Drosophila melanogaster: one gene and its partners. The protein of the gene in region 3 interacts with the protein of the main gene of each other region in a pairwise test. Each region holds a gene or a part of one and is shown on either strand. Other genes may lie near its edges. The genes, in order: Hr39, Cfp1, CG14625 and CG6424.

Region 1 (4,901 bases), on a different chromosome or scaffold from region 3:
CAACCACGATTCGAAATGAGAAACGTGGCTTGGCTTGTCTTGCACAAAAATGTATTTTCGTCGATATTTTCTGCCCGCGGTCTCACTTAATTAACCAATTAGCTAACCACATCCAAAGACATTTAAATGGAGAATACCCATATTATGCACGGCAAACATATGCCAATGTGGATCGTAGTCGATCCGAGTCAAGAATGTTTTCTTCATCTAAAAATGCGTGAAAATACAATATAACATATGGATTGAAGACTTAGCATTAGCATATATGCGCAATTTATCAATTTAAATATTACGCAATAAATAATGTAAATGCAGTGGCCGACCAAAGCTCAATATCTCTGACACTAATAAGTTGTATCTACCGAAAACTAAAGCTAAGCTTAAATGAGAGCTTTGGGGTCGTCTATTAATGTCTTTATAGGCGGCTATACACGACCAATTCCATTGTATGTCACTTGAACTTGCTTCAATATCTGATTGCCTCTGATTTCGCAACCACTCCGTAGTATACATATGTATGTACATTTATCTAGAATTCAGTAATAAAGGAGTGTTTCACAGTTTAGACTACAGACAAGTCAGTGCTATTGGGATGGACAACACCATTTAGATCAGAGCTTGTCCACCAGATACCCATCACACATACCCATTCATAGCAGTGTCAGCTTGATGGACATGGTTAGTGAAACACGAGTACTAATATGTTCTAAGGAACTCATTGCAAATCCAGTAATATTTATTAGGATGGAATTTATAAAATAACATTACAAACTAATTTAAGTTGTTTCGTTCAAAATATACACACATGTCTGACGATATATAAGAAATCGTTTATTATACCTGTTACAATTCATCCGATAAAATGTCTAACAGATATAAAATATATTCTTATTAAGCCGAGTCGATGCTCAACCTTTCTAGCTTTTATAGTTCCTGATATCTCGACGTTCATATGGACAGACGGACATGACCAGTTCGACTCCGCTATTTATCCTGATCAAGAATATATACTTAATATGGCCGGAAACGCTTCCTTCTGCCTATTACATACTTTTCAACGAATCTAGTAAACCCTATTACTCTACGAGTAACGGGTATAAAAACAATTAGCTTATGTATTAATAAGCGTGTTTCGTTTAGGATAAAACGATACGATATTACCAAACGTGGTGATTTAAATTTCCCGTGTGGAAAATCTAATCTGAGACAAAATATTCCAATTCTCTTATTTATGTGTGTTTATATTGTTTAATTTGTATTATGAGTAACAATATTTACATAATTAATACAACTGTTATTTAATTATAGAACAAATTGAAAACACTTCTTGAAGAATGTGGGTAATTAGTTATTTCCTAGAGGTCATCTAAAACTGTTATTATAAATTATCGACTACTTTGAAACAATTTGAACTAAGTATTATCATAGACTTAAACCACTAACAAAAGTTGATCGCTTTTATCAGTCTGGAATTAAATTATTTTACAAGTGGGCTCCATAATAGCAATCTACTATCGATAAAGTGCGAACGAATTCGAACTATTCTTTCCCGGTTAACGAATACAAAAAACTCGAATAGCGTCGGCGTATTTTCTCTGGATGAAAATTTTTTGTGAAACTTCCTATTTGATCTGACTTCGGACTATCAGGAAAAAGTAAAAAGGTTTATTGGTAAATGAGCGACAATTTAAAAAATAATGAAAATATAAAAGACCATTACGTCGTAAGACCACCGTTCCAAATTCACTAGTAACCCACCGTCGCTGCCTTGACGTATTTTGTCCCGCTATCAGATCTGTGTTCGTAAAGTGGCAGTGTGCAGCAACAGCTCGCAGAAAGGTGGCAACGCTCGCTAACAGACCGAGAGCTCCACTAACAAAACAAACATTTTGCTACTTCGTCGCAGGCGGGACTGTGTTGCGTCGTGTGATCGCTAGAGCGGTTGTGGAATCGGATTCGAGCGCAAAACACCGTTCATGCTGTGAGCGAAAAAGAGTGGTAGCGCCTACAGTGGCATATGTAGTTAAATCCGTGAATAAGTGAATAAGAATATATGTATGTACTTAATTCGAAAACCTTTTCGCCGTCAGCACAACGGGTGAACGAGAGAGCGGAAGTGGAGTTTTTTGTGGCGGGTCGTCTCGCTCGCACCGCAAAGGTCGTCCGTGGCTGCGTGTATGGGTGTGTGGAAGAGGCGTCGAGGTGAATGTGGATTTCTAACCACACCAGCATTGCAAAGACATTGATTGATATTTAAAGCTGCAGCAGCGAACCAAAGCAAATCCTAATTTCGGCAAAGTTTAAGAATAACGAGTGACTGGGGCGCGCGCAATAAGATAAAATTGAAGGTTATTCTGTGTGCGTGTGAGTGACCCGTTTACCAGTGTGTGTGTGCGAGCGTTCCATTGTAAACAAAAAAGCAAGTGTTGTGAGCGGAGAGAAGAAAGGGAAAGAGAGAAAGAGCGAACAGACTGGCGAGAGAAAAAAGAGATTGCGCACGAAGAAAGCAGCGCACAAAGCGAACGCTGAAAATGTCAATAAACTCTGCGAAAGGTGAGGAAAACGCAACAAGAGCGCCGCAGTCGTGTAAAATAAAACCCAAGACTCAAAGAAAGCAGTAGAAAGAGGCAAGTGCAAGAGCAGAACTTGTGCGTGTGAGTGCTGGTGTAGTGTGTGTGGGAGAGAAGAGTTCGAGTGTTTGTTCTGATTGGACAGAGTGTGCAGAAAAGTTTTTCTGGTTTCGATTCGCTTGCAACAGTTTCCGCGTTTTCAGCTCCAACAAGTTTCGTCGATTTTTCGCGTCTGCATTTTGTTTATTTTATTGTGAATTCGTTGACTTGCTTGCTCGCTCGTTAACCCATACAAGTGCGCCCGCCGCGACGCTGGATGAGTAATTTACCGTTATTAATTCACAGGTGAAAAATCCGATATTTGTCGTGCAATAATTTCCTCGATTGGCATCAAGTGGCTTCCAGTCGGGTACATATTGCACAAGAAATGTTATACGCATAATGTGCACGCAAATTAAACGAATTCTCTATGAAAATGTGACTAGAATGTGAGTCGAACAAAACGAGTAAAACGTGAAATCCCAACTGGCTTTTGGGTAACAAATCTTATCAACACAGCAACGGAAATACATTAAAATCTTGATAGACTGAGAAAGGGACAATTGGAATACTTTTAGTTATTTTTAAATGGTAAGATAATCTCCTTTCCTTAAAAACAAAATGTTCCCATAATTTTTTAGGTATTTTAAAATGGTAAGATGATCTCATTTCCTTAAAAACAAAATGTTCCCATAATTGATGTCCATGATGTCCATCCCATAACTTGATGTGATTTCAAAAGGAACATCGTGAAAACTGGGCGAATCGTATAAACCATATGCTTTCATTTCATTTGTATTTAAGGACAACAATATAGGGGCTGTAAAAATTACCATTTTTTAAGTGATTTAATATTCCTTTGTCCTTTAAATTTAAAGATCCAAGAGGCCCAATTCAAGCGCTATATTTTCTTATCCCCTTCCACAGAGTCAAAGTAGGCTTTTCGAATCCCTGAAATCAAAACAAAATTATTAACACATCGGGAAGTCAGTGTCGTCTGGCGGACTGTCTGGCCGGGCGACTCCCAATTCATAAGCAGTGAAATGTAACGGCGCCGTTGAGTACTTGAACTACTTTCATGTGGCAGAGGCTTTATGACCCGAACTTGGCTGGCTCATTACATTGACATTCAACTCTACCGAGCTCTGAAAGCGCAAAAAGGACGCCATAAAGGCTTTAATTAAACATGTGTTATGTTCGGTTCTAGAAAACTTAAAGCTTTCCGAATTGACTCTGTATAGATTCGCTTGTCTTTATTGTTCGATCATCGTTACACGTTATATTTTTCTCGGTGCAGCCGCCGGAAATTGTTTCGACAACGAAACAGAGACGGTCTCGATCAGGGAGAATAAGAGGGTGGGAAGGCACTGCATGTCTGAATAGTACGGCCAAGGCACGTTTTGAACTCTACCTCTACCACACATTTCTTGGGCCAAGTCTTTAGCTCTTTCTGCTTTCGCGTGGTGCTTGACCCAGAAAAATCGAAGAATCGCCAATTCTGCGGCTGACAACGCTGCTGATGAGGCTGCGGCTGGGCCAAGTCTTGTGCTTTCGAGGAGCCGCAGAAGGGGCTGTCTCATAAACCATTTTAAATGTCGGGCTCATTATTATTTTGACTGCGTCGCTTGCGGTTTTTGTGTCTATCAGCCGTTCTTACCGTGCCTTCTTACCGTTCAACTCTTCTCATTTCGTAAGCTGGGATTCAGTCTGTCCGAAGGTTGACCGCGAGTTTGGAAGTTGATTGGCTCCGGATTATACATTGCGGACGCTGGTTTATGTTCTTGAACTCCTTTTAAATGTGCGCGGCCTCAAAGGTTAATTTACAGCTTTCGGGGTCATAACTCTGGCTAAAGGCGGTCGATTCTGCCGTCGAGACGCGGTTACAAGAACTGGCAACTGATGTAGGGATTTGCCCATGCTTACAAACGCAATGAGTGGAAGAAGGCAATAAATTATCGGGCTTGAGTGGTAAGCCTGGTCTCCAATTCTGCAAAAAAAAATTTTGCTTCTGGTAACTCTTTTTGTGCATGCAGATATTTATATTAACCCGACCCATACGCCTTAATATCTGTAACTTGTAAAGTCTTTGAGATTTGCCCATTCGGTGATGTATTTCTCGTTCGTCAGTTGGCTGCCAGCTGTTAACCGGTTTTCGAATATGCCTTCGGGTGTTCCAACCGCCTTGATACCCACTTCGGCCATCCGTGCCTCTCCCTCGGCAGTGCACCACCCACTCTTGCAATACATAAGTTGATACATGCTGTTTCTCTCCCTGGCTTTGACTCTGGCTGC
Region 2 (4,596 bases), 8.1 Mb from region 3:
CGAACAGCCAGTCATTATCCGGCGACCACTTCAGCAGCGAGCCCGGCGGACCCAAACGCTTGAGTGGCTGCATCATTCCGGTGTCCGGCTGCCAGATAATAATGGAACGATCTCCTATTGAGGCGGTGGCCAACTGGGTGCCATCCTTGTTCCACTGCATCGAGGTTATTGGCAGATTGTTTGGGCTAAAAGGGAAAATAAGTTATGTATTTACCAACTAACGATAAATTTTCTATACTGACTATTTAAAAATCTCGCTGGGTGCATTTGTGCGTCCCAAATGCAAAGTGCTGTCCACTTCCCAGAAACACAGACCCTGCCGACAACCTATCACGATCTCGGAAGCGCAGAGTGGACGCCACGCCATGCAGGTGATCTGCGTTTGGGATGGACTCTTTAAAACAGTGGCAGTGGTCGCACTGGAACTCTTTGTGTAGATGCGCACCACATCGTCTACACCGGCTACGGCTAAGCAAAAGAAGTGCTGATTCCAGGCAAGATAGCGCACATCGCTGTTGAGCCAATCCCTGAATGAATGGGACAGTAAGGTTTAGGTATTATTGGTCAGTTGGCTGCGCCCCACCCACCTGGTCTCCACGAACTGAGCAATACGCTCTGCACTAAGCTGCTGGGTGTGCGGGAGGATCCTCAGGCCGGTGGCCAGGCCCAGAAATTGTGCGATTAAATCACCCGCCTGGGCAATAAGCGGCGCCTGCTCCCTGGTCTCTGGGCTGCGTGCCTCCTCCAGCGTCTTCCAGAATCCGCCATTAAAGAAGCTGCGAGCTATGCGCTTTAGGACACCCTCATTCACAGATACGAAGCTCTGTCCGCCGTAGTACCGCTGACCAGCCGGATTGGCCAGAAGTTCGCTGTTCAGGTTTATCTGCGGATAGCGTTCCAGCTCTGGGATGTGATTGTGCCGCAGCGCCAGATCCGGCAGCGTGGAGAACGGCGGACACTGTTTTAGGTTGCTCAGGGCCGCCATAATTGCAGACTATTCACATTCAATTCAGTTCAGTTGAGAAAAAATGGTAACGAAATACAAAGAAAAAACCGCGCGGTTATTAGAGGTGAGAAAAAGCCGACAATGTCAGTGGTAATTCGATGCTTAATTTTTCTATCGATGTTTAATTTTACGAAACTTCGAAAATACTGGGCCGCGGCAAAATCTTAAAGATTATCGAAAAATAAAAATTAGGTATATATAAAGTAACAATCTTTTGTAGGTTTTATATTCACGTTGTTTCTCTTTCAAGAACTCTATTTAATCTCATAGATCTCGAACACACTATCGTTTGTTATTAAGACTATGGAATTAGTTCTCTCGATATAAGTGTTACGAAGCATTTTATATTTATACACAGCTTACAATAAATACCTAAAATTGTTTTTATTGTATAGTCATACATCAATTAAAATCTACAACGTAGTTTTATGCTAAATATTATATATTTTATTAGGCCAGAACCTATCGATTGTCTGCAATACATTATTAGTAGGCTATCGATATCCTTTCATTCACCATCTCCATCGCAAAAAAAAATTCCATGAAACTTAATTGACGGATTTGGATTTGGACTGGATTTGTTGTCGGAAAGATTGCTGCGAGATGACGGACAAGCGCAAATATAAGAAGACCGTAAGTTTCACCCGCTGCACGGCAATCATATTTTTAACTACAAAGGAGGTTTCCAAACAGAAAGAGGAAATCAGGCGGGAGATCGCACGGGAATTTGATTTGCCTGAGCGCAAGTCCAAGATAGCCACCATTCTAAAGCAGGAAGACCAAGCGTACTGCATATGCCGCTCCTCCGACTGCTCCAGGTTCATGATGTGAGTTGAATGGCCTTAAAGGGCTAGATCCCGGCTAACTACTTGTACCCTTCGCTTTCCAGAGGCTGCGATGGTTGCGAGGAGTGGTACCACGGCGACTGTATAGGGATCACCGAGAAGGAGGCTAAACACATCAAACAGTACTACTGCCGGCGCTGCAAAAAGGAGAATCCCGAACTACAAACCATATTCCGCCTGGTGGCCACCGAACGGGCAGCCGCATCGAACGCCGCCTCTACAAGTCTCAATGCCCCGGGCGTAGGTCCATCGGGAGCTGCGCCTGCTGCTGCACCGGTGGCGTCCGCAACAACCAGCCAGCAAGCGCCGCCACCGACCACTGCGGCAGCGAAGCGCAAAAACAGCAGCGCCCGAGAACCAAAGATGGGCAAACGTTGTGGTACCTGTGAGGGATGCCGGCGTCCCAATTGCAACCAGTGCGACGCGTGCCGCGTTCGCGTGGGCCACAAGCCGCGCTGCATATTCCGCACCTGCGTTGTCCAGGCGGCGACGGTCTTAAAGGAGTCGCAGGCAACTCAAGCCGGCCCAAGTAGGAAGCGGGAAAAGGCGGCACCCAAGAGTCGCAATGTCCAAGTGGGCCCGCGGGCGGCCAGTCCGGAGATATTCCTCAATCCGGAGCTACAAGGCATCCGGCAGTGCTACGGACCCAATTGCTGCTCCCATGCGAGACCGCAGAGCAAGTACTGCAGCGATAAGTGTGGCTTCAATCTGGCCACAAAACGCATCTTCCAGGTTAGTTTCATTTTTTGGCCAGACTATGACAATTAAACACCAAAGTCCTTTACACTCTCAGGTTCTGCCGCAACGACTGCAAGAGTGGAATCTAACGCCCAGCCGCGCCGCCGAGGAAACACGCAAGCATCTTGATAACATTCGTCATAAGCAGTCCCTGGTGCGTTTCGCACTTGCCGAGCTAGAGAAGCGCTCCGAAGAGCTCAACATGGTGGTGGAGCGAGCCAAACGAAGCTCCATTGATACATTGGGGTCACAAGACACCGCCGACATGGAGGACGAACAGAGCATGTACTGCATCACCTGTGGCCACGAGATTCACTCGCGCACTGCCATCAAGCATATGGAGAAGTGCTTCAACAAATACGAATCGCAGGCCAGCTTCGGGAGCATATTCAAAACGCGAATGGAGGGAAACAATATGTTTTGTGATTTCTACAATCCGGCAAGTAAGACTTACTGTAAGCGATTGAGAGTATTGTGTCCGGAGCACAGCAAGGATCCGAAGGTGAACGATACGGATGTGTGTGGTTCGCCCTTAGTGAACAACGTCTTCAATCCCACGGGCGAGTTTTGTCGTGCGCCAAAGAAGAATTGCTTCAAGCACTACGCCTGGGAGAAGATCCGGCGTGCTGAGATAGATCTGGAGCGTGTGCGTCAATGGCTCAAGATGGACGACCTGATGGAGCAGGAGCGCGTGATGCGGCAGCAGCTCACCTCGCGAGCGAACCTGCTCGGCCTGATGCTGCACTCCACCTACAACCACGAGGTGATGGACGAGCTGGTGCGCAAACAGCAGGAGCATCTGGTAGAGTTCGAGAAGCAGAGGCGACGCCTGGCTCACCAGCAACAAATACAAACACAGCAGAAACAGTACCAGGAAAAGCAGAAGCTAATGTTGCAGCAACAACAGCAACAGCAACAACAGCAGCAGCAACAACAACAGCAGCAACAACAGCAGCAGCTGCAACAACCACAGCAGCAGCAACAACAGCAGCAGCAACAACAGCAGGAGCAACAGCAACTGCAATTGAAGCCACATCATCTGCAGCAACTTCAACTTCAACTGTTGCAGCAGCAGCAAAAGAAGGCCCAAATACCACAGAAAACTCAAATTATATACCTGCAGAAAAAAACATAGATTTGTAGTCCCCTAATCATAGCAAGAACTAACAATAAACTGACGTCCAAGAAATATTTTTCTACGACAGTAATCTTTGGACTTACCCGACGCAAAGTTTCTAGTGTCGCCTTTCTCCTGGCAACCGCATAACACGCTCGCCAGCTGTTGGGTCCGCTTCCCGGCCAGTAGTAGGTTGCTACGCGCCGGGATCGGCGGTACGCCCATGTTTGTTATTGAAAACTAAGCATCAAATATGCATTTATTGATAGCAACATGCTATTAATACATTAGGCCAGCTCAACCGTGGATATCATTCACATGGATTACATTAGCACACACCTTAATATTAGTTTATTAGCTGGATTCAAGTTATTTATAATTTCTATATACGATTTGTTTTCTGTTCATTGTTAGTTTGTATTTAGAAATAATCTAGAAAATAAGTTAGCATATTAAATACATTTTCTTAAGCTGTAGGCTTTTTTTAATAATGCAGGTTAATATTACTGCATTAAACAAAGTCATGAAAAAAAGAATACTCTACGCTCAACATATTTTGAAGATCATATAGACATAGGCCACCGAGTCCGGGTTTTGATATCCGAAACAATGGTTCCGGGTAAATGAAGAGCGGGGGGCAACCATTGGAAACGGCAGGACCTTGAAAACGATGGAGGCTATGGATTAGAGTGGGCATGCTGTAGTTGGGAGCCAAAAGGAATGTCAGGACGCACAAGTGCAGTGGAAATTTCAAGCGAGTCTGAACGAATCCGGCTACCCGGGCAATCAAGTAGTCGTGGCGATTTGTGACTGTTCCCCCAGACGAACTGTCAAAAATGCCAGTCGTTGTCCGGAACTTTTCTACATCACACACGACCTGCTGATTCAAA
Region 3 (5,794 bases):
GGGAGATGAAAGATGTAAGCAATCCGATCCACAAACATAACATTTTTCAGCATTGTCGAAGCGTTGCAGCTGCCACAGTGCAGCAAAGGCAATAGGAAAGTTAAAGAAATAAATAAATGCTGATCGGTGTATGAAGATGTATGAGATGAAGAACTTAAATACATTTACGATACATTTCAAGCCGCAGTTAAATCTTTGATTGAATTAGTTAAATTGAATTAAAAACCCAATCCTTGGCAAATCAATTGGTATTGAGACTGTTCATCTGGTGCGGCTGCCACAGCTGTTTCTTTGGCAGCTGGCAGCTGGTAGTGGATTTGGTAGTTTCTGCAGTTTTTGGCCGCATAACGGGGCATGGATAGCCATGGCTATATGTATCTATGTACCTATGGCAATCGCACTCGACTGCTGACAAGGTTGTTGATCTGCACATATGTGGAGGAGCCGAAACGCTTTGCCAGCTTTGTTTTGCTTTGCTTTAGCCGCTGCAAAGTTGTTTCGCTTTTATTATTACGGCTATTATCGTTAGTGTTAAGTGTGGCAATTGTTTCATTTTCAGTTTCAGTTTCGTTTTTCGCTTCTCATGCAGAATATTAAAATATAAATCATACGCCCTGTGGGCCAGCGCCATAGTCCGCAATAAAGAAATCCCCGGCCAGCACGTAAGGGAAATCAATGAAATGCCAATTGGCAAGTTATTCCAAGGCGTACTCCCAGTTCTCTAAGTCCGGATCTCTTTATCGAAATTGAAATCATCGCTGTTGGTTTTCGGCAACGGCAATTGCTGCTGCTCTTTCGGTAAAATCATCATAAATCAGCGAACACTTTTCTCCGTTTGTCTGGGCTCCTTGTTAATTATTATGCACTGAATCAGTGACCATGAAGCCAACCACCGAGTGAAGATCTGCCACGACCAACCACCGACTGCCCGCAATGTAAACACTGTGAGAATACAGCAAATGGGGAAATTTAAGAATACATAAAATAAGACAGATCTAGTGTTAATGGATTTGTTTCAAGTTTAATTTAAAGGGTGCTAAAGGCTCCCTGTCGAGTCATTGGACTTGCAAAAGTCCTGCTGCTTTCCGGACTCCACTCCAGAGTGGGTTAGTGACTACTGCCCGTTGTCCACTATTTGTCGTTTAACCCAATAAATGCCTTCGGTGGCGAGGATTTTACAAGTCAATTACGGGTATTACCCACCTGTGCCGGCAAACATTTCATTGAACTGCCTGTGGTGGAATGGGGATTGTTTGGCTTAGCTTATGGCTTAATTGGCCATCAAAGTGGCAGCTTAAACAGAGGCCGAAACTGAAGCCAAGAAACTAAAAACTATAAACCAGTTGTCCCGTTGTCCTCTCTCTTTCGTGCTGGCCTATCGCCTTCTCTGTTGCACCTTATCGACTTATAATGGGCGAACTTATCACGCATACGCCGTGTTGTGCGTCGATGGCTTATTACGATTCGAATTGTCATCGAAAGTGAAGCGATCTTTCTCCCCTTCTCTATCTCCAACTGTCTCTCTCTCTTCGCTTGCACTTGCACTTTTCTCGCTTTTCTTTGGCGCGCACATTCGCATAAATTTTCCGCTGCAGCGGTTCGCATCATTATAAAAGCCTCGCCTCGACAGCTGGCCGCTAACAATTCCAGCTGAGACTCTGGCGCGCCATGATGTCAGCGCTCACATCTCGATTCCGTAATCTTCAATATCAGGAGCACCACCTTGTCCATATGGGAGCAAACATTCTCAGCCGGCGGCAATGGTGCCTGTGTCTGCTGATCATCGTAAGTAGTGCGCTCACGTCCAAGGATTCGGATAATTCGATTCACGAGGAGTACCTTTTTTTTTGGTGGCCAGTGATCCAAAGTGTAGTGATGTATTTGAAAATTCATAAATGTTGGACTCGAGAGAATCTCCAGAAGTAAAAAAACAGCCCATTTGAAAATGAGATTTTTTTTATTTAATAATTCAGTGAAGAAGAGTGATAAATTTGTAAAAAATATAAATAAATATGTAAAAAAATATATATAAATGTATCTTACGATAAAAAACGAAAATAAGTGAAAAAAATATGTAAAAATACTCAATTAAAACTTTTTAAAAACATTAATATTTGAATCTTCAGTAATGAACTGCTGAAGCTTATCCCGCTAAAATTACATTTCGGAACATAACACCAAATTTTTAAACAAAGACCAAAAAGATTAGCCTTTTTGGGAAAATATGTCCCGAATGACTGAGAATTACGTTTTTGATACATAATCGCCAAATTCTTTTCCCATTTCGATCGAAAAGGATCCATTTGGCGATTCGCAATTGCGTGCTGCGGGTTTTTCATGCCGGTGTGTCATTGCCCTCTCCTCTGGAAAACGGTCCATTGAACTTGGCCAACTGAGCGCCGCCAACTCAATCATACAGAAATTGACTATCAACCGCCTCCTCCTTCTCCTTTTCTTTCTCTTCTCCTCCTTGAAAGCGAAAGCGAATTGGCGGAGTTTAATTAGTTTAATTGCGAAGTAGGCACAAGCCAATGAGTCTGAAACGAAGAGGCCAATTTAAGGCAGTTCGCCTAACTAGCACCCGTTGAAATGGCACACTCATCAGTTGGCCAAGGTTCCTTGTTTGTCCTATCGTTTTACTCATTTTATTTTAATGTACGGTTTTTATTGTAAGCCATGCGAATCTCCGATTATGTAATTTTCAAATAGCTGTGATTCTTTCTAATTTCTCTGAACAGATGTCGACGCTTTGCAGTGCCGTGACTGTGACCTCAGGCACGTCTGGGAACAGTCGCCGTCGATCGGGAGGTTCAGGAGCGGTGTCCTCTTTGGAGGTGACTGGGGAGAAGGCCTTTCCCGATCAACTGGCTATGGCAGCTAGCCGTAGGGGCTCCGACGATCGTGGTTACTCCAGGCGGGGATCGGTTACACAAAGCAGATTAAAGGAGGCGCCCAGCAAAGGTAATAAACCGTCCCATTTTGTTTGGCAAGCCTAAAAGTATGCACTAATCCGCAATCGACATGCATTGTATACTTCCCAGATTACAGCTTTGGCCAGGTGGAATTAAATCTCGTTCGCCCAGAGCACGAATCGCATCCAAAGCAGACCGCAGAATCCGGATCCGGAGCGTATGTCAACCTAGAAGACTCTAAATCGGCAGCCGAGTATGTGGCCAATGCCATCAAGTTGGCCTACAAACAGCCACCGACTCAACTGCGAGGTCAAAGCCAAGTTCAGAACCCTAGCAACAACCACATCCAGGCGCAAAAGGAACAGCAACCTACCACCCAGAGAAGTTACCAGGAACAGAGAAGGGATAGGGAGATCCTGGAGATGCAATTGCAGAAGGAACTGCATCAGCAGGCCCTGCTCCTGTCCTCAGGACCCTCGTCGCCATCCTCGTCTGGATCGTCGTCCTCCTCTTCTCCGCCGTCGCCCGCCCTAGCGCCTGCGCCAGTCTACGAAAAGGAACCCGTGACCCGGAGCTATGAACTCTACGAACACGCAACCGAGGACGAGTCCCATGTCCAGGCCCAAGAGCAAGACATCGAACGCCACTATCGTCCCAAGTACAGCAATAACTACAACAACATCTACGCCCCCTATCAACCGCCGCAAATTTACAGAAATCTCGAGGCCGAGGCCGAGGAAAAAGTCAGGGTCTCTGCCTCCACGGAAATTCCCAAATCGGAGATAATGAAACAGATTGAAAAGTCCGTGATCAAGTACATGAAGGAACTAGAGGCCGAAGGTAAAATCATAAGTACGCCCCAAGAGACGGCCACGCCTCCTCCACCACCACCGCCTCCGCCGATTACCAAGACCTACTACAAGTCGCAGACGCTCTCATCTGGTCTCCATTCCGGTTCCATTCCCTCGTCGCACTCGCATTCACACTCGGAGGAAAAGCGTTACAGCAGCAGTACAGTGAGGCCCAAGTATACGGTCCCACCAACGACAAAACAACAACAGTTGCATCACCACCAGCAGCAGGTGCTCCACCCACAGCACCACAGCCACCAAATAGCCGGAAAACTGAGGGGCTCTTCATTGGCAATAACGAATTCAAAGCCCATTCAGCACTTTCAGTCCGAAACGGAAACGGCATATCAGGCCCCCGATTTGCCCGTCGACGAACTGAGTCCGAATGTGGAGTTTATTTACAAAATCAAGACCCGAGCTCCCCTGCAAACGGCCACAGTGAAGACGGTTTCGAAGCCCTACACTTTGCCTCTGAAAAGTGCCGAGCACTTTGACCACAGTGCGGCCCTCAAGAACATCGAAGAATTCGATCTATCCCACGTAGTTCCCACTCCAGATCGAGTGGAACGGGAGCGGGAAAGGGAAAGGGAAAGGGAGCGTGATTCTCGGGAAGATCAGGAGAGGCTTACAAACTCTGGCAAGCAGCACAAGTTGTATTTCAATTCGGAAATCTATCATGACATCAATGCCTTGCCCTACAAAAGTAAAGAGGCAGCTCTGCAGGAATATCGCCACAAGCTCAAGGCTTCCGGGTCATCCGGGGAACTGCATCCGGACTACAAAGGCTACTCCTCATCCGGTTACTTTGCCGAGCCGGAAGCAGAGACTGAGAATGAATCAAAACTAATCCTTAACGAAGAAGGCTATCCCTATCATTATGTGCTGAAGAAGGAAACCCTACTAGATGATCATGAGCCCTGGTTGTCCCACGCGCACGGCCACGCCCACCAGCACACCCATGGCCACGCCCACTCGCACAGCAACAGCAACAAGCACCCGAGTCTTGAATACGACAGCTACAGTCCGAAGTTCAACAACAATCCCGAGGGCTACGGCTATCAGCACACGTACAAGGTCAGAGGTCAACCAGCAGGCGGTGCCGGGTCGGGGGGCGTGGCTGGCATAGGCAGTAACACGGGGACCGGAGCTGGAAAGCGCGGCAAGCGGGGGGGAGGCGGTCATCCCAGACAAGAGGCGATTAAGAAGCAACTGCGCTCATCGGAGGTCAAGGACTTGGAAGCCAGTTTGGCTCTGAGGCCACCGCCCAAATAGTAAACCCCATCCCTCGATTAATCAATCGAATAAGCCGCAAAACTCCACCACCACCCTCATAGCTTATTTTATGCCAGAATTTCGAGCATGCTTCATTGTATATGCTATTGTCTTTTTTTTGTAGAATCTAAGTGTAAGTACGATTATTTATTGTATGGCCACCAACTGCTGAAGTGGTAGCCAACTAAAACAGACGATAACAAATTACGCCAATAAACAAATTAATGAAATAACTTAAAATAAAAACTATCGCTTATCCATTGACATTTTTAAATAGCTCAAGACTTCATTCCATTATCATGATAGCCCCATGAACTAGATTTTCTATATCTATCCAAAAATTCGAACTGCTTGGAAAAGTGCGAATGCCGCCTCTGTTGATCAGTTTTTTTTTTTTAGTTTCGATTTTTATTCGTCTCATTTCTTCGCTCTATGTGTGGGTGTGAGTGTTTGAGTGTGTGTGTGTGTGATGTAATTAATAATTTTAGCGCACAATTATAAGGCAGCCGCCCACATCCACCCAATGAACGAACTGATTGAAACATCCAGAGATTCAGCCTCGGATTGGGTAAGTCACAGTAAAAGTGCCTCCTCTTTTGCAATTTAACTCTTTCTCTTGGTGGAAGTACATCCACCGCATTTGCATTCTGGTTTTATATAGGAACACAAGTTGTACGGGTAAGAATCTGTTGTAAATGGCAGAAAAGAGTGTCAAATGTGTTGTTACGTGAGATTTGGACGATTAATCGCCAGCCCAGC
Region 4 (4,891 bases), on a different chromosome or scaffold from region 3:
AGTGGTGAAATGCAAACTCCACGACCTTGTGGATGATTTATTTCATAAACGTACATATGTGCATACATATGTCGATTATTATCCTCGCATTTAGCACATCCGTTGAATTTCACCAAAGGACTCTTTATCATTCAAAAAATTAACCCTCTGGAATTTCCACTTATTAAAATAATCACTTTTATTTTCCACATAAATTTAACGCAAATTAAAAAGGGAAGCAAAGCATTTGGAGTCTCATGATTTAGTTAATACGTTTATTTAATAACTAATACTGTATAGTTTTTCTTAAGATTGCACTTTCAATCGGCCAAGGAATTTGCTATTTCATCACACCATTTCCATTTCAAAAATTGTGTAATGTAGTTGGCGAGAAAAGTGAAAAGGGGGGTTGGAAAAATGCAGGGGCGGTGGATAATAGAGAAATCAACCATATTTTGGCTCGAAAATACTAAATGCACGTATTTCGATTTCGCTAAAAATGTTCAGCCATTGGCAAATATCCAAAATGTATACAGATTTTAAAGAGGGATTATTATGTGCATACAGAGGTGCATATGTATATATGTACATACGTATATATATATTAGCTCAAGCACTTGGCCTGGTCAAGGAATGGATAAGTGAAAGTTTCTGGGGGAAGACTACGACTCGGGAATCACAAAATGCGCAATAAGAGCTGTCTTACAAGTCCATAAAAGTTCCAAATCCCTTTTATGTTCGTGCCCAAGCATCATTTCCGGATTTCACTATCCGCTGCTCGCCTGCAACATTGGCAAATGGCACGTATACGGATACTTACACTGAGAAAAATTACACTAACTTCAAAAAGTAAATGTTTATAATATGAATACACATAGAAGCGTAGCATTAACGTGTAGGTGGGAGATGTAGGGTAGTGTTTTGTTCTTGCTTTTGTTTTTTTTTAATATATAACAAACGCAAAACAACCACCAAAAAATCACCATCGTTTCTGAGAATTGATTTGGTCCTGGAAGTTATTTGAAATGATATACTGTAGATGATTTTATTTCTAGGCCTGAACAGGCTTCGATAAGATGTTAAGATACGAAAGTAAATTAGAGAGAGAGTTTGTGAGTGCGACACGGAAAGAGATCGTTAAAAAATACTCTAAAAGATCACCAAGGATCAAAGGAACATTTTAACTCCATTTAAAAACTCTCACCGGATAACAACGGTTGAATGTGGTATATGGTAAAAAATAAAAAACACTTTATGCACTTTATGAAAGAATGCACTTTTTTTTAAGTTTCGGAAACATTCCTATAGGACCATTATCTATACTTTTATCTCACTGCATGGCGCTATAAAAGAGCAGGAGCTCCAAAGGATGTTAGCGAACGGCTGGCAGAGGCAGTGCTCTAAGTGTGCGTTCAAGGACGTGCATGCATTATGGTCGAGCATTCCGCAGCGAATCGAGGCATTAAGCCGTGAAATGCGACCAGGGGCCAAAGGCAAAGGCCCTATCGCCTGAAAAGCCGAGGGAAGTGTTAACGCTGCGTATGTGCGATATTTAATTATCGCGCGGGGGCGTGACCAAAGGGGCGTAGGTGTGCCGTTGCAGCCACGTCCTTGCCTACTTTTCGGAGAGGCGTGAGGGATAGAGAGCGCGAGCGTTGGGGAGAGCAGCTCCACGAACGAAGGGTAGCCGAGAGCAGACGAAGTCACACGAAGCCTGTCGCTTTCATTCAGTAGAAAACGAACTCTCATCCCTCCCACTGCCCCTATCCAACCACCCATATGTCCATTTCCACCGGATGATTTGGCGCTCTCTCCCCTCTTTTGGACTACGCTGCTTTAAGCACGTGCGCCCGTTAGTTTTCCGCTCATTCGATGTTGGTTTCTCGTCCGGTGTGGTTCACAATTTTTCTTTCTGTCGCACTGTTCGCACTTCCTCTATCCGTGTATGTGTTCATGTGCGTGTGAGTGAGTGTGGGAAAGTCAGCAGCAACAACAAATACCCAGGAGAGCGAGAGAGCAGAAAGATCCGCCGAAAATTAGGTAAATAGCGGGCACAAATGTTGCAACTGGTTAAAGGGGTAAGGCGCTTTAAAGCTGCACTCGAAGAAAGAAGTATAGATACGGTCGTTGATTTTACTTCAAATTACATTCATAAATAATGTAAATTAGATAAAATTAAAATTAATTATTGAGATACTGCGAATAAGCCTAATGTATGTATATTAAATAGATTTTATTAAATGTCTGAGTTAACAACTTTTTACTTAATCGAACGTTTTTAATTTTCATGTCATCCCCTTGTTGTATTGATATATGTATTTATCTTCGCTTTATTCGTTCCTTGTCAGTGTATAACTTTACAACATCCAATTTGGGATTATTGCACCTGGGTCGATTGCATCTAGGACTTGTGAGAGAGGAATTACGGAGTCTGCCAATTTTGTAATGTTTTTGGTAATGCAGGGATCCTTTACGACTTTTTTGATTTTTTTGCGAGCGCACACACAACAGAGCGTGTTTTCATTTCAATGTTTACATTTTTTCGGTTTCTGTTTTGATTTTATTTATTTTCCTTTCCCGAAATAAAGCAGAACATATAATTTTTTTTTTGTTTTCGAATTTTGTCTGCGACGTCAAAGACATTTTAATGTCCAAATATATAGTCGTATATATTATATGTATATCGCTTTTAAAGCAAATGGAGAAAATTTCGCATGTTTATTTTGTTATATTTTAAGGCACGCAACATATCCATCTGGGGTTAAGTGCCAGACATCATCAATCAATTAGTCATTTGATGGCGATATTAACAGGCTAGGCATTATACATACATATGTATATTTATGTTCATGATGGCATCGATATACATAGGATAATCCATGGAACAGGTTGATTAAGTGCGTATTTTCCTCAACGCTGCAGGTTTCGGTTGATTTATTGCGATACCAAAGGAATAGAGTAACTATTTAGTTCTCACCTTAGTATTGCTTTTTCAAAAATTGTTGTAAAATAATAATATATACCCTTCCTTGTTTTACTGCATTACCAGAGAATTTCCAGAAAACACAATCTGTTGCCTTTCCGTTGTTTTCGTTTCATTTGCATAATCAAATTTTGTTTATGATTCGCAGCCGCATCAATTTAAATGCAAATCTGCAACTGGCCAATTGCAGAAACTATTTTACTTCATACCAACCCCCGCCCCCTTGGTCATGCCTCCTCGCGTTGGGAATTTCTCGAAAGTTCTCGAGGGCTCATTGGGGGAATAAGAACTTGACACCCGTAAATTATTGAGCACTACCCCTTTCTCCTCTTTTCCAAACGTAAATTGCATCCAATTGGTTTTGATTGCTCAATCTGATGCCGCACTTGTTGGTGCTATTTTTGCATGCTTAGATTGCACAATCGGGGTTTGAAGAATCAAAGGTTTTCACGCGAGTCCTAATTGACTTTTCTATTTTCAGCTATGGATAAACAGAATGCAAAAATGTATGCAATTGCCGTCATAAGTTCGCTCATTGAGATTCGCAATTGAAATTCACTTTACCGAAATGAAAATGAACCAAATGAGCATTTAGTCAAGTGAGAGCGAGCGAGAGAGATGCGCCGCCAAGTTAACCGTTTCATGTGCAACGTCATCGTCATCTGAAGAGTACCGCCGTAGGAAAAGTAAAGAGAGCGCGCGAGCGCATTACGCCCTTGTTTACACGCCCATTTCACAACTCCCCCGAAAGGAAACATCATCCAAGGACCTCCTAAGGACGCATATAAGACCGCTATTTGGATAATTAATGCAAAGGAATCCGAATTAAAAACTTCAGCGATAAAAGAGTCTGCGCAAAGAGAGAGCGCACAGAGCGAAAGAAGGGGAGAAAAGAAAAAGATAAAGAGAGCGAGAGCGAGCGCCGCTTCGGTGGGCTCCAAAAATCACATCGTGCAGGTCCCATTTGGAAAAATTGCGTCTCGCGACACAACGTGCGTCCAAGTCAGCGGAAAGTTTTTCGATTCGCGGCCCGGTTATTGAATTTGTATATGCGTTTGTGCGTTGAAAAACTCCAGTTTCTGTAGTTATTTGTCATTGTCGTTGTCAATCGACAACCATAAGCTAACCCATTAACCAATTTTATCTAGTGCGACCAGTGTTAAATATCGATTTTTTCGGCTAATGCGCGTCGATGACCTCGCACACAACAACAACAGCAACAATTGAGAGCTAAAGCTGCAAGTACACGCAGAGAAACAACAAAAACGAAATAAAAGCACTCAAAAGCTGTGTCTAAGTTTTTAAAGTAAGCCAAACAACACAAACGTTTTACATAATTGCCCCAGTGCCAAAAGCGGCAGCCACAACAAAAACAACGAAGAAGAAAACAACGGCGTTGCAAGGGGGAAAACTCTCGATTGAAAGAAGAAGCAGAGGAGGCAGAACAAGAAGGCGGAGAAGACTACCCGAAAAGAGCGGCAGCCGAAAACCGCAAAGACACATGCTCAGATACCGTCTCGTGTCCACTCACTTCCTCAAGCAGCCGTAGTGTGCGAGCGAGCGAGACAGCCACACCCGTAGAGGGGGGACCGAGAACGAGCACGAGAGCGAGAGAGTGTGGGTGTAACTGCGAATGCACTTGCAACTGCAATTGAGAGAGAGAGAGTGACAGCGAGAGCGAGCGATCGCAGGATACGATTGTGCTATAAAAGTGCGACAGGTGCGCTCTACCTGCCCATTCACCGTTAGTCGTCGTCGGTAACTCATTTAGTTGTCGAGAGTTCCTCTTTACATCCCAGAAAGAGGCAGGATCAAGGAGCGTACTAAAGAAAAGGGGAGGAAACTCAAACTCGCCAGCGAGAAAGAGAGAGAGAGAGAGGGAATTCACATCCGATCCGGCACTAAAATCCATTCACAACGTATTCGCTA

Evidence for each region.
Region 1: the proteins of CG14625 (region 3) and Hr39 interact in a two-hybrid assay, tested with the Drosophila melanogaster proteins (one large-scale study listed by BioGRID).
Region 2: the proteins of CG14625 (region 3) and Cfp1 interact in a two-hybrid assay, tested with the Drosophila melanogaster proteins (one large-scale study listed by BioGRID).
Region 4: the proteins of CG14625 (region 3) and CG6424 interact in a two-hybrid assay, tested with the Drosophila melanogaster proteins (one large-scale study listed by BioGRID).

Annotation. Positions count from the first base shown.
Region 1 is NT_033779.5:21,235,366-21,240,266, forward strand, and holds the start of Hr39 (hormone receptor-like in 39), read left to right. Parts: upstream 1-1,884; 5' UTR 1,885-2,039; exon of another isoform or gene 2,040-2,055; intron 2,056-2,915; 5' UTR 2,916-3,200; intron 3,201-4,901.
Region 2 is NC_004354.4:9,269,903-9,274,498, reverse strand, and holds Cfp1 (CXXC finger protein 1), read left to right. Parts: upstream 1-1,538; 5' UTR 1,539-1,609; coding exon 1,610-1,833; intron 1,834-1,895; coding exon 1,896-2,583; intron 2,584-2,644; coding exon 2,645-3,724; 3' UTR 3,725-4,065; downstream 4,066-4,596. Other genes in the region: aladin, read right to left, coding at 1-185, 243-527, 588-985. UniProt on the Drosophila melanogaster protein: Component of the SET1 complex that specifically di- and trimethylates 'Lys-4' of histone H3. Essential for Set1 association with chromatin and trimethylation of histone H3 at 'Lys-4' at transcription puffs.
Region 3 is NC_004354.4:1,197,887-1,203,680, forward strand, and holds CG14625 (uncharacterized protein), read left to right. Parts: upstream 1-1,659; 5' UTR 1,660-1,731; coding exon 1,732-1,785; intron 1,786-2,738; coding exon 2,739-2,961; intron 2,962-3,041; coding exon 3,042-5,035; 3' UTR 5,036-5,271; downstream 5,272-5,794.
Region 4 is NT_033778.4:17,716,302-17,721,192, reverse strand, and holds the start of CG6424 (uncharacterized protein), read left to right. Parts: upstream 1-1,846; 5' UTR 1,847-2,019; intron 2,020-3,443; 5' UTR 3,444-4,463; coding exon of another isoform or gene 4,464-4,511; 5' UTR 4,512-4,891.